2 linked regions of the Caenorhabditis elegans genome follow. The protein of the gene in region 2 purifies or fractionates together with the protein of the main gene of each other region. This does not show direct contact. Each region holds a gene or a part of one and is shown on either strand. Other genes may lie near its edges.

Evidence for each region.
Region 1: the proteins of nhr-25 (region 2) and nob-1 purify together in Caenorhabditis elegans (affinity purification with western blotting, with the first as the bait; one study listed by BioGRID). This does not show direct contact.

The regions. Positions count from the first base shown.
Region 1 is NC_003281.10:12,078,282-12,086,290, reverse strand, and holds the start of nob-1 (Homeobox protein nob-1), read left to right. Parts: upstream 1-1,974; 5' UTR 1,975-2,028; coding exon 2,029-2,216; intron 2,217-2,260; coding exon 2,261-2,469; intron 2,470-6,799; coding exon 6,800-7,035; exon of another isoform or gene 7,036-8,009. UniProt on the Caenorhabditis elegans protein: Transcription factor, involved in posterior embryonic patterning, morphogenetic movements of the posterior hypodermis, and cell fate specification. Binds to the 5'-TAGT-3' motif in regulatory elements of genes, including Meis protein psa-3 and microRNA mir-57.
Region 2 is NC_003284.9:13,006,929-13,014,469, forward strand, and holds nhr-25 (Nuclear hormone receptor family member nhr-25), read left to right. Parts: upstream 1-1,564; 5' UTR 1,565-1,660; intron 1,661-1,957; 5' UTR 1,958-1,963; coding exon 1,964-2,080; intron 2,081-2,089; exon of another isoform or gene 2,090-2,292; intron 2,293-2,337; coding exon 2,338-2,370; intron 2,371-2,462; coding exon 2,463-2,571; intron 2,572-2,843; exon of another isoform or gene 2,844-2,985; intron 2,986-3,178; exon of another isoform or gene 3,179-3,361; intron 3,362-3,410; coding exon 3,411-3,594; intron 3,595-3,644; coding exon 3,645-3,769; intron 3,770-3,818; coding exon 3,819-4,106; intron 4,107-4,221; coding exon 4,222-4,496; intron 4,497-4,822; coding exon 4,823-4,941; intron 4,942-5,399; coding exon 5,400-5,645; intron 5,646-6,062; coding exon 6,063-6,285; 3' UTR 6,286-7,034; downstream 7,035-7,541. UniProt on the Caenorhabditis elegans protein: Orphan nuclear receptor and probable transcription activator, required during development. Plays a role in male tail tip morphogenesis regulating the expression of the transcription factor dmd-3 in a negative feedback loop.

The sequences.
Region 1 (8,009 bases), on a different chromosome or scaffold from region 2:
GAATTTAAAAATTTCAAACTTTCTCATTTTTATCATTTTGATGGAAGTTTAATTAAGAGCATAAAGCGCGGATTGAGGCGGAAGGCAGGCGGAGGTCGCCTTAAGGCCAGGCAGGCGTCTTCACGCCTACATGGAAGCCCAGGAAAATACAAAAAAGTCTCCAACCTCTCCGACACGGAAAAGCTGAATATAGGTGTTTTTTCAAAATTTTGAACCGCCATAAAAGCATTTAATCCTTTTTTTTTTTGAAAAGTTTCATTCTGATTTTCCAGAAATAAGTTTCTAGAATTTCAAAGGGCCTAAGCTCAAGCCTAAGTCTAAGCCTAAGTCTCACGATAGTTTTAGGGTCTCAAATTTAAATAAAAACCTGTATCTAAAAAATCAAAACTGTTCTAAAAAAGCACCCCCTGCTCTACTTTGACAGCCTAAAACTCGGTTCGCTTTGGTTTTATCAAACAATTGCAAACGGACAAAATAAGTGCAAAGTGTTTCCCTATATTTTGGTTATTGCAAATTTTTTGGTAAAACTGAAGACAGCCGAGGTATAAGCCGCCACGTGGTGTCAGGCTGTCCCATTACGGTTTGATCTACAAAAAATGCGGTAATTTTTTTCTCAAAAAATGTGACGTCAGCACGTTCTTAACCATGCAAAATCAATTGAGAACTCTGCCGCATTTTTTGGTAGATCAGCGTAGATCAATCCAAAATGAGACACTCTGGCACCACGTGTGCGGGAAGCTTAAATACTCAAGCTTCAGGGGGTTTTTTAAATTTCAAATCTAAATCCTCTTGACAAGAAAAATAGAATGACCAGAAACCGAAGCGAGAAAAAAGAAAAAAAAGTGGCGACCTCTCTTTCTCTCTTCCTGTCCATTGACTAAAAGGCAAATCGGATCGGAAGGTAATCCAGTCGTAAAATTGGTGGAAGGTTTCCTATACTAAAATTATATCATAGAATACGGAGTGCAGGAGGTCGGGTTTTTTTTTCAAATGAATTGATATAATAAAATTGAAAAAAAAACGCTCAAATTTTGTATCATATATATGGGAATAAAAAGTTGATATTTGTCAAAATCATGGAATTTGCTTTTCCCTTGCTTTTTGCACTCAACTTGTCTCTCCTATTCATTCTCTGTTCCCCGCCCGCCCCGCTCCTCGCCGCCCAATTCGTCAGAGGGGTACGGTAGACAAGTGGGTGGAGCGTGCGTGTTATGTAGTGTCCTCCTTTCTGCTCCTCGGCCTCATCACCTTTCACGGCCCCCCGCCCCTTATTCTCTTTATAGTCTCTTTGGTGTTTTCCAACACAAGGGGGAAAGAGGAAACACCTTTTTAATGCGTTTATAAAACTTTTTTAGTGCTCTCTTAATCTTTATTACTTGTCTCGCATGCATGTTTCAACATTTATGTTATTTATGTGCCCCCCCAGCTTTTATTTTATTACCCTCAAAAGGTTTATGAGGTTTAAAATTATTTTATTGGTGCTTAAGGTTTTGATTGCCGCGTTTGTCGCCGATAAATAATAATTACTGTTATAAGCTTATTTACTAATTAATTAATTTTCCGCGTCAAAATCCTAAATATATCGTAGCTAAAGCTTTATATCTAGTTAGTATGGCCCCCCATCAATCGACTTTGTCGTCTTATATTTCAGCGGTTTCATAAGATTTTTGATACCTTCAAAAACCAGAGCATAACTATAGATTTGAAAAAGATATTGTCGTTCGAGTTTTTGACATATGATCAAAAAGAACCGAGATATAAGCGTTCAAAGTCGAGTGAGGGGGGCCGTACTAATAGGAAATATACGGTAAATGACTACTGTAGCTCTTACAAGCCGTGCTAAATTCATTTCAAAAATCGAGCCCGTAAATCGACACAAGTGCTACAGTAGTGTTCAAATATAAGCTTTTTAAATTCTCGTTTTTCTTTTCCTTACTTTTTCAAGCTCAATCTCGCAAAGTGCTCAACTTTCAGGTTCAAAAACAGATCTCCAAACCCAAATAACTCCCCAAGCTGCTCATATATGGAATGATTTCGGTGATGCAACAAATGATTAATAACGACTCTCCAGAAGACTCTAAAGAATCTATCACCTCTGTCCAACAAACTCCATTCTTCTGGCCAAGTGCTGCTGCTGCCATACCGTCGATACAAGGAGAAAGCCGTTCGGAAAGAGAATCTGAAACTGGGTCGAGTCCACAGCTAGCGCCGTCTAGGTTAGTGTGAAGTTGATTTGGCAAATGACATCTATCATTTTCAGCACAGGAATGGTTATGCCTGGAACAGCAGGGATGTATGGGTTCGGACCAAGTCGAATGCCAACTGCCAACGAGTTTGGAATGATGATGAACCCGGTCTACACGGATTTCTATCAAAATCCGCTGGCCTCAACTGGTTGGTACTCATACGGACAACCGTATCAATTCACAGCTAACTACTCCATTCCAAGTCTCGATGGAAATTTAAGTGGTTAGTTCCAACATCTCACTTCTATTATGTCATTGTGCTCTTCCATCTGCCCGCCCACCTCCGCATTCCTCGCTATCACTAGCTTTGATCTTACCGCCGCGAGTTGCAAGGGTAGGAGAACACGGTTTTCTGCTCCGTAACTCGGAACTTTCTAAAAGATCATAAGTCAATTCGCAGCCTATTTGGATCTCATTCCTTTCCTTTTCCGCATAACAATCATAAAATTATTAATTACCGTTGAGACCTCCCCCACCCATAAATTTCGCCTCGCCCTTGCCCAATTAGTAATCGATATCAAATCACACACGCGCCTTCAATTCCTACCGTACCACTTTATCTTCCGATCATCTCTTTTTTTGTTCGTCATTCTTCCTTATATAGAATCTTCTTCATTTTTTTGCCCCCATACAGTAATCGGAGAGTGCACTCTCCTCGCGGCGCCAGCGGCGACCCTTTCAAGTTGTATATGTGTGTGTGTGTGTATCGACGACGTGTATAAACACGCACTGGCGACACTCTTTTTTTTTTGGAGAAAAGGCAAAAAAGGAGAGGAGAAGACTATATCGATAACAGACACTTTACATCAGTTTTATGGTACGGTAGAGAAGGGGCAAAGTGTCAGAAGCTGTGGTTCTAATTATACCAATATCGATTTTTTGTAAGGTATGCCGTATTTTAATGTCTTATGTAAAACGTAGCTTTTAGGATTTAGGTTTTTTTCCTGAACTCATTTAAGTTTATATATTAGCTATTTTCGCTTTTACGGTGATTTGCTTGAATTGCTCAAACAAGTATAGGTAACTCGAATATGATAACTGCTAGCAAAAAATTTCCAACTAACAAAATGTTGCTGTTGATTTTTTCCACATCCTTGATATTGCCATAATTACATAACTTTGTTTACAGCAACTGACATCCGGCGGGACTGTTTTTTCTTTAACTAGAATAGAATTACTAAGTACCCCATGACTTTTGAACTAGGTGTGTATAGCAGTTTATACTACCGTATATTTCCTATTAGTATGACCCCCCCCCCTATCAATTGACTTTGTCGGCTTATATTTCAGCGGTTTCAGAAGATTTTTGGTACCTTTAAAAACCAGAGCATAACAATAGATTTGAAAAAGATTTTGTCGTTTGAATTTTTGAAATATGATCAATCAAAGAGAACCGAGATATAAACGGTCAAAGTCGAGTGAGGGGGGCGCCATACTAAAAGGGAATATACGGTGCACTTTCAGATTTTTTTTAATGCTGGAAGTTGTGAATCACCATTCTCAAATAAAAAAGATCAAAAACCAGTGTAATAGAATCTCAAATCTCAAACCTCCCAGCAACAAATCAACAGTCTATAAAATAACTCAACTTGGCGCCTTATGGTACTTTTCGGGGGGGCGCTATACATGTCCCTATCACTCATTCACAAATTGCCTTTTCGCCCAAAATATTTCGTTTTTCTCCCCGTCTCTCTCGCTTGCTGTGTGTTATCTCCATTTTCGATTTTACGACTCCGTGTGGCTGCTTGGCTTCGTCCCGCTCCCCGTATTTGGAGAGGCAGAGAGACTCTCTTTTTTGGCGTCACGACGACTGCTGCGCAAATTTTCGGATTAAAAACAGCGAGTGGAGGGGGGGGGCAGCCCCCATTTCAATTAGGGGAAGGACAAATTGAGATACGGTAGTTAGGGATGGGCGAAGATGAGGGAGAAAGAGCTGGATGGGGATACGACAGACATGTTGGAGCCTTCTTTGGAATGTTCTTTTGGGATCGGGAAGGGCTATTCTAAAGGTACATAATGTTTTTCTCAGTGGGTCTCGCTACGGCGTCCGTAGTTTTTTTTTATCGATTTTAGTGACACGTATTACTAAAACTAAAAGCTGCTTGTCATGTTGATATAATGCGGAATTCGATATCGAGATTAGCGGGAGAAAGAACTAAGGACTTTAAGCGACTTTGAGCACTTTTTGAAGCATCTAGTAACTTTCTCTATTAGTATTGCACCATATTGTTTAATTTTGAAAGCTTATACCCGAGAAGTGGTACCTTTACGCAGTTTGTCTACCGTATACCTGGCAGTTTGGGTGCGTGTTTCTCAAAAACGGATGGTTCATTTAAAAATTTTTTAATCAAGTTACAGTATTCACAAAAAATTCTAAATTCATTAGGCCAAAGTTTTTTCCTTATAACGCGTCCAATCCGGGTTATGCACGGTGTTCGATGGAGCGCATTTCCACGGATGTACCATTTGCCGTGCCGTGAAAATATTACACGTGGTGCCAGACTGTCCCATCACGGTTTGATCTACAAAAAATGCGGTAATTTTTTGCCCAAAACAAAAGTGACGTCAGCACGTTCTGCGCTTCTCATACTCCCGCATTTTTTGTAGATCTACGTAGATCAAGCCGAAATGAGACACTCTGACACCACGTGATATTACAGTTACGCTAAATTCTGAGAATGCGTGTTGCACAACATATTTGACGCGCATAATATCTCGTAGCGAAAACTACAGTAATTTTTTAAATGACTACTGTAGCGTTTGTCTCGATTTACGTGTCTTCAGAATTAAGTGCAATACTATTACGATAATTAGAAATCTTTAACGCAAGTTTTAGTTTTGAAGAATCGTCGAAGCACCCACATTTTTTGATGTTCCTTTTTTGATTCGATTATGGAAATGATTCACGGCTATGAAAAATGATGTTCTAGAAAAATGACATTCCTGACTAAAAAGTACCGTAACCCTGCTCTAACTTCCAACAGCTTATCCCTTCTCTCTCTGATGCCAGATGTGATCTTCATCTTCTTCCGTATCCTTTCGGCAAGTTGTTCATTTGAAGTTCAAAGTGTATGCCGACCGGGTCCCAGTGTGAGGAGTAGTGTTGTCTAGAATTTTATGACGCTAGTTTTATAGTCGACGACGACGGCGTGCCACTTGCCTTCTCCTACAAATTCTTTGCCCTTCATTGTTTTTTGTTCTGATTTTTTGAAAGATAAAGTACTGTACACTGTACACTTTCGGGTTTTTTTGAATTTTGAAAAAATCGATTCTCAAGTAAGTTTCACAGCAAAAAAGGGTAACTCTATGGCATGACTGAAATGGCAAAGTAAACACCTTTAGAATTCGCAAGCGTAAACTGAATCATCAAATTCAATAAATCGTAAAATGTTGTATCAATAGGGGTCTAGGAGGTATTGTCCCCGTCAAGGATCATCATATATCAAATTGTTGTAAATGGGGAGGATTAGGATATAACAGGTAAACGGAATATGTTGGTATTAAAAGGCCTAAAACATTTACGTAATCTCCGAGCAGAATAGAAGAACACCTGGAGAAACGGGCATGCAAGAAGGCTATAAAATCATCCTGTTGTGGGTAGTTGGCAGATGTTCCCAGGAATTTTGGAAATTTTTTTTTGTAGAAGAGTCCGAGACGTAGTTAGTAATAGTTGAGTAGATCTTCCTTAATTTACTCAAGTTATCAGTAGAGCACGTTTGTATTGATGTACCAGGCGCCCTGCCGTGAGTTATTAGGGAAAGACAAAATTCTGAGAATGCGTATTGCGCAACATATTTGACGCGCAAAATTTCTCGTAGCGAAAACTACAGTAATTCTTTAAATGACTACTGTGGCTTCTTCATATTATTTTCTCATTTTTTGCTCAATTCATTTCAAAAATCAAGCCCCCTGTAGTTTTCGCTACGAGATATTTTGCGCGTCAATAATTTTGAGTTTTGTAATCAGGTACTTTCCCGGAAATTCTTCAACTGTTTGAATTCATATGTCCTTAAAAAGTTGCATAAATTTCACGGAAAACGAGTTAGAGGCTGCCCATCAGGGGTTTGCGGCAAATTTGCCGAAATTACCGTTTGTCGAGCTAGGCAAAATTTGACAATACAATTTTGACCAAAACACTTGATTTTGTCCTCCAAAAATTTAGTAAATTGACACAAAATTAAAAAATTATATCAAAAAGTATCACATTTTTCTGAGCTTAATAAACACGGCAAAATTGCCAATTTTGCCGAATTTGTCTTGCTCGGCAAATTTTGAGATTTGCCGCACAACCCTGGCCCCCCCATATGCTCAGTTTACCGTAATCTAGACAGCTCCTGGCGTCGCCGTCCAATTAATTAGAGTTGAAAGGGACCGGCATGTGTGTCTGCCCCGGGCCTTCTATCCCGAAAACATGGCCCACCCCAATTTTACGACTGGAACCTCCCCCCACCTGCTCTCAGTCTGTGTCATCACACAGACGTCTCAGAATATATATATGCTCCATCTTGTTTTATAGTTATTGATTTACTGCAATCAAAATATTTTATTTTCAGATATCACAATTCCAACGACGGCTGGAAGCAGTGCGGCAACAACTCCGAACGCTGCAATGCATCTTCCGTGGGCAATCTCACATGACGGGAAGAAGAAGCGACAACCGTACAAGAAAGATCAGATATCAAGACTTGAGTACGAGTATTCTGTCAATCAATATCTCACGAATAAGCGGAGATCAGAACTCTCTGCACAATTGATGCTTGATGAGAAGCAGGTCAAGGTCTGGTTCCAGGTATGTTATAGGCAGTATTCAGCGGAAAGTCTAGAGATCATAAATGTGAATTTTTATCTAATGTCCTAATGAAAAAAATTCCAGAAATTTTGGTAAATTCCCAAATTTCCTCATTTTTAAAAATTAATTTTGAGCTTCTCTGGATTTTCAAAAAACGAACATCTGAAAAATACTAAATTTCAATATTTTGAACATTTACAAGGTTTGGGCACTAATAATTGAAAAAATACAATATTTAGCGCCAGCCAAAACGAACTCGAAAAAATTGAAAAATTTTTTAAAATTTCCAGAAAAGTTTTGGCAAAATGCCAAATATTTAAACCTGTTCCGACCTCTAGAATGTTTTATAGGAATTTTTTTGGCAGACTTCCAAAATTATGACTTTCAAAAACTGAGTAATTGTCACTTTTCAAACTTGTCAAACTTGTCAAAATTTTCAAAATTTTTTTGGAAAAGTTTTGCTATCATTTTGGCACCACTGGAGTAGTTTTTAACAATTTCCTCACTGGCGCTAATCCATCAATAACCATACTTTAAAAGTTAAAAATTACTTTTCAGCACGTGGTGTCAGAGTATCCCATTTCGGATTGATCTACGTTGATCTACAAAAAATGCGGGATAAGAGGCGCAGAGTTCACAACTGATTTCACATGGTTAAGAACGTGCTGACGTCACCTTTTTTTAGGAAGAAATTCCCGCATTTTTGTAGATCACACCGTAATGGGACAGCCTGGCACCACTTTTTGTAGCCACACTTTTTTGAACTAAAGTAACATTCGTAATTAATTATCAGAGTGCAAATAAATAAGTTGGACATTTGTGAATTCACGTAAAAATGGAAATGTGCAAAAAGGAGGCAAAAGGTGAGCAGGTTTCAGGCAGGCATCAGGCCTTGAAACCGCATCTGCCTACCATGAGAAATAATTGAAAACTTTAGAAACCTGAAACCGCGCCTGAACATTGTCAAAAACCGT
Region 2 (7,541 bases):
GACTTGCACTTATCTTATCATATTTTCACTGATGATGTCTATAGCGCCTTTAACTATTTCATACATATACAAAATCCCGGATATAGTCATTGCCATATTTTATTTTCCTTTTTTTCCTAAGTATTTGTGGAAAGTTTAATACGAAAACCAATAAAATACGTGTTTTGAACTTATAATATAGAAAAACCTATTTTAAATTTAGATTAAAAACTATTTAAACCTAACAGGCATACCTTTAATTTAACCAGACGATTCAATTTTTGATAATGACGTTATCATAATTATGCAAAAATGATTAGCTTTCTACAATATACATTGTTAAATATCTAAACTTTGTTGAAATACCAGCTCAAAATGAGAATATAACTTTTTTAATCTAAGAACTATCAATATTTTGACGAAATTTTATATTCTATTTTTTTTAAATAACGTTTCTAGTCTTAGCTGAGCATGTTGCTTTTTGTGCATTTTTCGAGAATAACTTTTTTATTGTTCAGTATTTTTTAGAAAATAATTTCCTGTCTTGACTCTCTGAAATATTTTCGATGAGCTATCTCAATTAATCTCAATTTGGCTTCATTGTTAGTACACACGTTTAGAACCTAATGTTTTTAAGCTTCAAATAACCTGTAAACTTTTTTTTTTAATTCGGTCATTTTTGAGCGAAAAAAGTTTCACCCAGCGCCCCGCCCTTTTTTTAATAAAAAAAATGTCCAAAAACCAATTCTGCACGGTGAGATATCATCAAGATTCAGTAGAAGTTTTTAGATGCGAAATTTCAGACGTAGAGAACAGGATGACAAATTTTTATACTGGTAACATCTAGTAACATTTGACTTCGATTTTGATAATTTGTCTTATTTGTACTATTCATTTTTAAGCGGTTTCCTTGTTGGGATAATTTCTATCATATCGAAGCAGATAGTTTTTAACCGGAAGTGCTTTTCTATACAAGCATATGTCGAGTTTGTTTTATTTTGTTTTAAAAATTTATTTTATTTGGCGCTTCTAAAAATCTTTTTCCCAGGCTAACTTATATGGTCCTATTTACGTTATCTCTCGATATCTCCTCTTAACCGGCTGATTGCGTAATAAAATGTAGATAGCGAGAAAAAGGGGTGGAGGCGACTTTTAGGGTAGGCGATGAATCAAAGCAGTCTAGGTAGGTAATATAAGTGAATTGACGAAGAAAAAAAATGAAGAACAATGCAAAGAAAATCAAATCTCCTTTTCCCACCCGGGGGGCAGCAAGTGAGACTATAAAAAATCGAGACCCACCGTCCCTGCGGTTTTCGCGCGCTGCGCAGAGAGAACAAGAGATATTCAAGTTGAAGTTACTGGGCAAAAAACGAACTGTAGCGGTGCCTGGCACGACCCCTGACGATACGCCACTGAATTGCCATACTCACACGTTTGCTTTCTCCGTTGTCGTCGTCGATCGTTTTTCTTTACCTCCCGTCAAGAAGAAGAAGACCCCCACGTCCTCTTCTTTTCTCTTCCTTTTTTTCATCATTTTTTCCCTCTCGATCATCCCCTTCTCTCCCATCGACGTTCACTATTTCAGGCCTCCGCGTCGACCTTCAACTACGACTCTCTTCTATACATAGGTAGCCGTTGGCGGATTTTAGTGGACGAAGAAGACGAGCGGGTGTGTCTTACGGTATGTAGGTCCCCTCGGGTAGAGCATGGTGGAGGGTGCGAGACAACCAAAGACATCCAACGATAGGCTCGCTGATGCCGCCAGTGGTGTGGTGGGAGGAGATCGACCGGCCCAAGAGATCCACACGGCAGCGAACCACTTACTCTCACTTTTCCGACTCCGCCTACTTTTTCTTCCGTACCGTGCCATCCTTGGACAGGTCCTTCATACCTTGTGCCATTCAGCTATCCCTTTCTCAAATTCATTTTTCTGTTTTCAATTTCATTCGAACATACAGTAATCCGAGATCTGTTCCAGAAATAAATGACTGACGTCGAGAGGATGGTTCTGCGACCGAATCATGAAGGCGAGATGTGCCCGGTTTGTGGTGATCGAGTCTCTGGATATCACTACGGCCTTCTGACGTGTGAAAGTTGCAAGGTTAGTCTTAGATGTCTTCACTTTTTTTCCGCGGGAAAAAAGTGGGTGTGTGGCAAAATGATAAGGTCATTTGTAGTTAGTGAGAGTCCCGACTCAGGGACACGTTCGAGCCCTTCAAGGACAGACAACTCTCACCGCCAAAATCATTCACTTGTTGCCATATGACCCTCATCGGGCGGTCATCTCTAGTTTTTCATTTGATTCTTTTTTTTCCATTTATTGTTTCATTCTCTCCATCAATAATTTTCTCTTTACAGGGCTTCTTCAAACGCACTGTTCAAAACAAGAAGGTGAGTACATACATATGTATAAAAATATAACACTGTAGCTGATGTTATCTAAGTATTGTTTTCGACTTTCTCCAATTTGTCCCTTCTTTCAGCAATATCAATGCTCTGCCGAAGCCAACTGCCACGTGGATCGTACTTGCCGGAAGAGGTGTCCAAGCTGTCGATTCCAGAAGTGCCTCACAATGGGAATGAAAATGGAAGGTAAGATATCTATCATATCTAAAAGAGCGCAACCGCTCTTCTGTAAGAGCACATACTGTGCTGACTTCTTGATTGATGGGATAATAAGGGATGTAACCGTTATCGAAAGTCCATCTCTATAAAAATTTTGAATTTGCACTTTAAGCAGCGTCATAAGCTTGTTCCACGTAATCATCGCGCAAGGCTTACACTTTTTGTGGATTTCTACTTCTCCTTTCTTTCATCTCTGTTACATGTTTCTCTCTCTCTCGTTTTTCTTTTCGTTTCGTTTTTGCATGACAACAAAAACGATATATTGAAAAGAGAGATGCAAAATTGGATATGAAACGGTGAGAGTGGAAGAGAAGAATAGATCTGACAGTCACCGAAAAACCGGTACCTGGAGACCTGGGGGTGGAGGCGCGCATCTCAAACGCTCTATGGCAGGCGCGCAACCATTTCAAATGTTGGAGAAAAGTGAGGCAACACCTTGGAAAACAACTGAAGTTCAGTGAAGTTTTATTAGGACATCCGGTGCATCATAAAAGAACTATTGGCATTCGGGGAAGTAGTAAAAGTGCAAAACAATAGTAGCCGGCTCGATAATTATAGGTGCTGAACAGTACCTTTGTTGGGAAAACATGAAGTGCCGAACTCATTCATTGCGGCGCGTTTTTCGTGAGGATCTCAATTGCAGGGTGTCGCATGTTTTGCGGCAAAAATGACTGCACTTGCCCACTCTACTCCAGATCAAATGAGCCGTGTGTACAGTCATCTGGCGGGTACAAACGGGGAACTGTAAATTGAAGGGGGAACATCGAAATGAGTGTGTGCACTTGGATAATGACTATGTTTTGTAGCGGTGCGTGCCGATAGGATGAGAGGTGGACGAAACAAGTTCGGATCGTTTTATAAGAAGGATCGGGCTCATCGTATGCAGAGAAACGCAATGAGAGTGAGCACAGTGCAAGTTCCAGCCGTCCTTGGAGCACAATCACAAGCACAAACATTCTATCAACCTCCAGAGCACCAGGTTTCAAGCAGGTGAGCTTTATTTCTTATATTTCTTTCAACTTATCAATCTCATATTTCAGCACAACTGACCAGAACAACCAAATCAACTATTTTGACCAAACTAAAATCAAAACTGAATATATCAAAACTGAGTATGATGCACATCTCCAGAGTCCAACATTGTCCAGTAGCACTAATCAGCAGCGTAAGAATATTTTCTGGAGTTGTTAATAGCATCAAATTATAAATTTCAGTTTCTGTTTCCGATTTTATCATGAGACCTGGATACTTAGTTGACCCACAAGACAGCTTGGCAGTACTTCTTGGGAGCACAATTGACGACCCACTTCTCAGGCATACCTTCCCAGCAGCTTATCAGTTGAATGAAGTCAAACAGGAGCCATTTGACTATTCGGAGCAGTTCATTCATCACTCATTGCACGACTATCCAACTTATACCAGCAACACTACCAATTATGCTACAATGATGCCAATGACAACTGTTTCCAGCACACAATCCTTGGTCACTTCGACTTCTTCTAGTAAGTTTTAGTTTTTTTATCGCTTTTTCTTGTCTTCAGTTTATAGTTTCAACATTTCAAATTTTTGATTAAGTTTTTTTTTAATTTTTGAAATGTTAACATTACTTAATTTCAGCAACAACTGGCCGAATGACAGAAGCTAGCAGCACATCACCAATTCTCCCACTTTGCCCAGCACCAACTGAAAAAACGGTGGACCACTTTTACAACAGCTCGATCGCCGAAATGTGCAAAACATTACCCGATGATGCTCAAATTGCTCGAATTTTCACAAGCGTAAAAGGAACTAGCAAACCTGAAAAGCACGCATTTTCCATTCAAGTCGCAGAGGAAAATTTGAAAGATATCGTGATTTGGGCAAAAAATGATCAACTATTCAGCAAATTATCGGTAAAATAATACATACAACAATATAATAATCTAGGCACTCTCATTTCCCACCAGCGGTTTTTTTCTAATATTTTTATTCTCTATTTCCCACCCTGATGAGATGGGAATAATGTAGATAAATTGCTCGCTTCCGGTGATCAAAAGAAACAATCGCCGCTATAAAAAGAGGCGCTCCTTCTCAAAAGGTACATCCCCATACAAACACACCTCTATTGTTTTCATTACGGACACCCATTATGTACTAGGAGTAATTGCACCGCAACCTTTTTATATCCTGAGTGTGATAAGTAATTGGTTGAAGATTTACTAAAGTGCATTTATTCCAGTTGGATGACCAAATGATTCTGTTGCAAACATCGTGGACAACCGTTCATATCGTTGATATCACTAATGCAATGGTCCACGGAAATCTTCTTTCGCAGTATAAAATGTCAAATGGTGATGAGTAAGTTGTTAAAATTTCTTTGAGTTCCATTCTTCCTAAGGCTCGGAAACAATTTTTGTGGAACGTTTGATTCTGGCTATTTAATGAGTCAATCAACTTCCAACGCAACACAACTACTATAAACAAACCGATCTGACAGCGGCGTCTATAAGATTAGGCTATAAAGATTTGGCGATAAATCTTGACTCATCTATCTCGATTACCCACCTTTTTTGCCTCTCGCAACATTGGGTGCCGACATGACGCAAGTCTTGATTCTCGGCACCAGATAAGATCTTCGTCCCGCGAGCTCATCGTATAAAGTATTGCGCATTTTCCCACTACCGGCATAGGCTCTAATAAGGATTAGGCTACCATTTTAGTTACGTAATTGTTGTGAAAACGAGCCGGTGGTCTTTCAAAAGTTCAAGACCTTTTAAGGCCCAATAAACCACTATAAAATCGTATTCTTTTTGCAGAGTTCCCGTCGGTCTTGTAGCTCTTCTTGGCAATCAAACATTCGTATCATCATGGAATGATGTTGTTATTCGGCTTCGAAATATGGGATTCACGAATTTCGATTATTGTGCTTTCCGATTCTTAGCCCTTTTTGACCAATCAATGGACTCTTTCCCAGCAGTCTCTACTGCTCGATCTCGAGTACTCCAATCTTGGCGTGAAGTGAGATGTACTACCGCCTTTCTGGAAATTTTCGAACAAATCAGGTAAACCTTTGGCCTTCGTAAAAACCCATCACAAATCAATCTTTCCCCTCGCCTCCACACAAATTAGCAACGTTGCCGTATAATTAGTGCTCATCTCTCCCTCCAAAAACTTGTTGTATACAGGAGACAAAGAATTGGGGAGAGAAGAGAAGCATCGGAAGAGTGGAGAAAAAAACTTATAATAGGAAGGCTCATTTATTCTGGTTGGATAGGTGCGCGAGGAGAAGGAAACAGATTAGAAAACGGGGCACAATATGTATACGGTATTGTTGCGCAGCAGGTGGCACTAAGAACGGGGAGAGAATCTTTACTAAATACATATGAATAGACAGAAAACAACTTGACTTATGAATATGCATTGGGAAATATGAATAAGTCGATTAATTACTTCTTACAATCTATTCTTTCTAATTTCAGACGACTCGCTTACGACTCACTACGGTACTTATGGAACCTTCATTCAAACTGCCCCACGAACTGGGAGCAATTCTTTCCGGAAGCCTCCTTGGTTCTTGAAATGATTCGCACTACTGTCAACCGATCGGCTAGCAGTAGCGTCACCGCAATCACTCAGGTCCCAGCAATCCAACTGCCAACCCCACAAGCCACATACACTGCTGTGCCGTACATGGCATCATAATGTCTCTGTCATAGGAGCTGAAAACTTCCAATGGAGTCAGTCAGCAACTCCCTTTGTTTAGCGATCTCGCTCAACTCTTCCATTTTTACGGGACCGGTTTTTTCTGTTGTCAATTACAGACAGCCAGTATTTTCTGCATAATTCCCTTATTTCACTTATTCAACTTTATAATATCAATATCATTTTATACCTCAAAAACCTCCATCCATGCATTTCAATTCATTTTCTTCAAGATCTATTGAATATCTTGCATTTTTCGTGCTGTGTCAGCTTTTAGTCGGTTGTACTTTATTTAAATCATTTGCATTTTTTCAATTCTCATTTTGTCTCAATATCTGTGTATCCTAGTGCCCAAACCCTCACAGCTTTTAAATGTATTTTGCTCTATTTTTTTTTCATTCAAAAATCTTTCCTCTCAAAACCCATTTTCCTAGGTCACGAGCCAATCAAAATTGGCACTTTATTATTATTATTGTTTCTCCCAACAAAAATCTGAAAATTCCGAAAAAACGTTCTCTGCCGAACTCTTCTCATCTTCCCAAAACTTTAAGACTGTTCTCTTCTGCAAAACGGATAATTGTTTTACATGCAATTAATATATTTGTATTTTGTCTGAATTCGCCCCCATTTTATTTCTTTATGGATTTTTATGTTTGGTTGTTTTATTATTCTTTTTTTCTTTGATTTTGATCAATCAACACACCTCACTTGTTTTGTATGTGCAGATCGTATATAAAAATTGAAATTTTAAATTATTTGAAATACTTTTACAAAAAATATTAAAATGAAGTATTGCGATTGTAGGATGAACTTTCAGGTTTTTGTGGATTTAAAAAAATAAGACTTGGTTTTTATTTGGTTCTGAAAACTTTCAGAAAACTAGACTTTAGTTTAAAATTTTTAAGACCAATCTTTTAAACTTAAATACTTTGTAGAGTGAGTACAGTTCACTCTGGATGTGAAAGTACTTTTCCCACTTATCTGTCTATTTTTGCCCTTTATTTTCCTCGCCTTGTCTACAAAGGGCGTTTTTCCTATATTTTGTGTCAGTTGCCATATAGGAGTATTACTTTCAGAACGAAAAAAAGTGAATGGTTACTTTTCGATTCTGCGTCTTCTTTGTAACTATTGAACCTTAAAAAATGACAATAAATATTCCACCTATAGGTAAAAAGAAGAGAAAAAAATCAAAGCCCCTTGTCTCCCTACGCTTTTTTCTTCCACCACCCACGGAGAGGCCCAACGATTTAACCGAA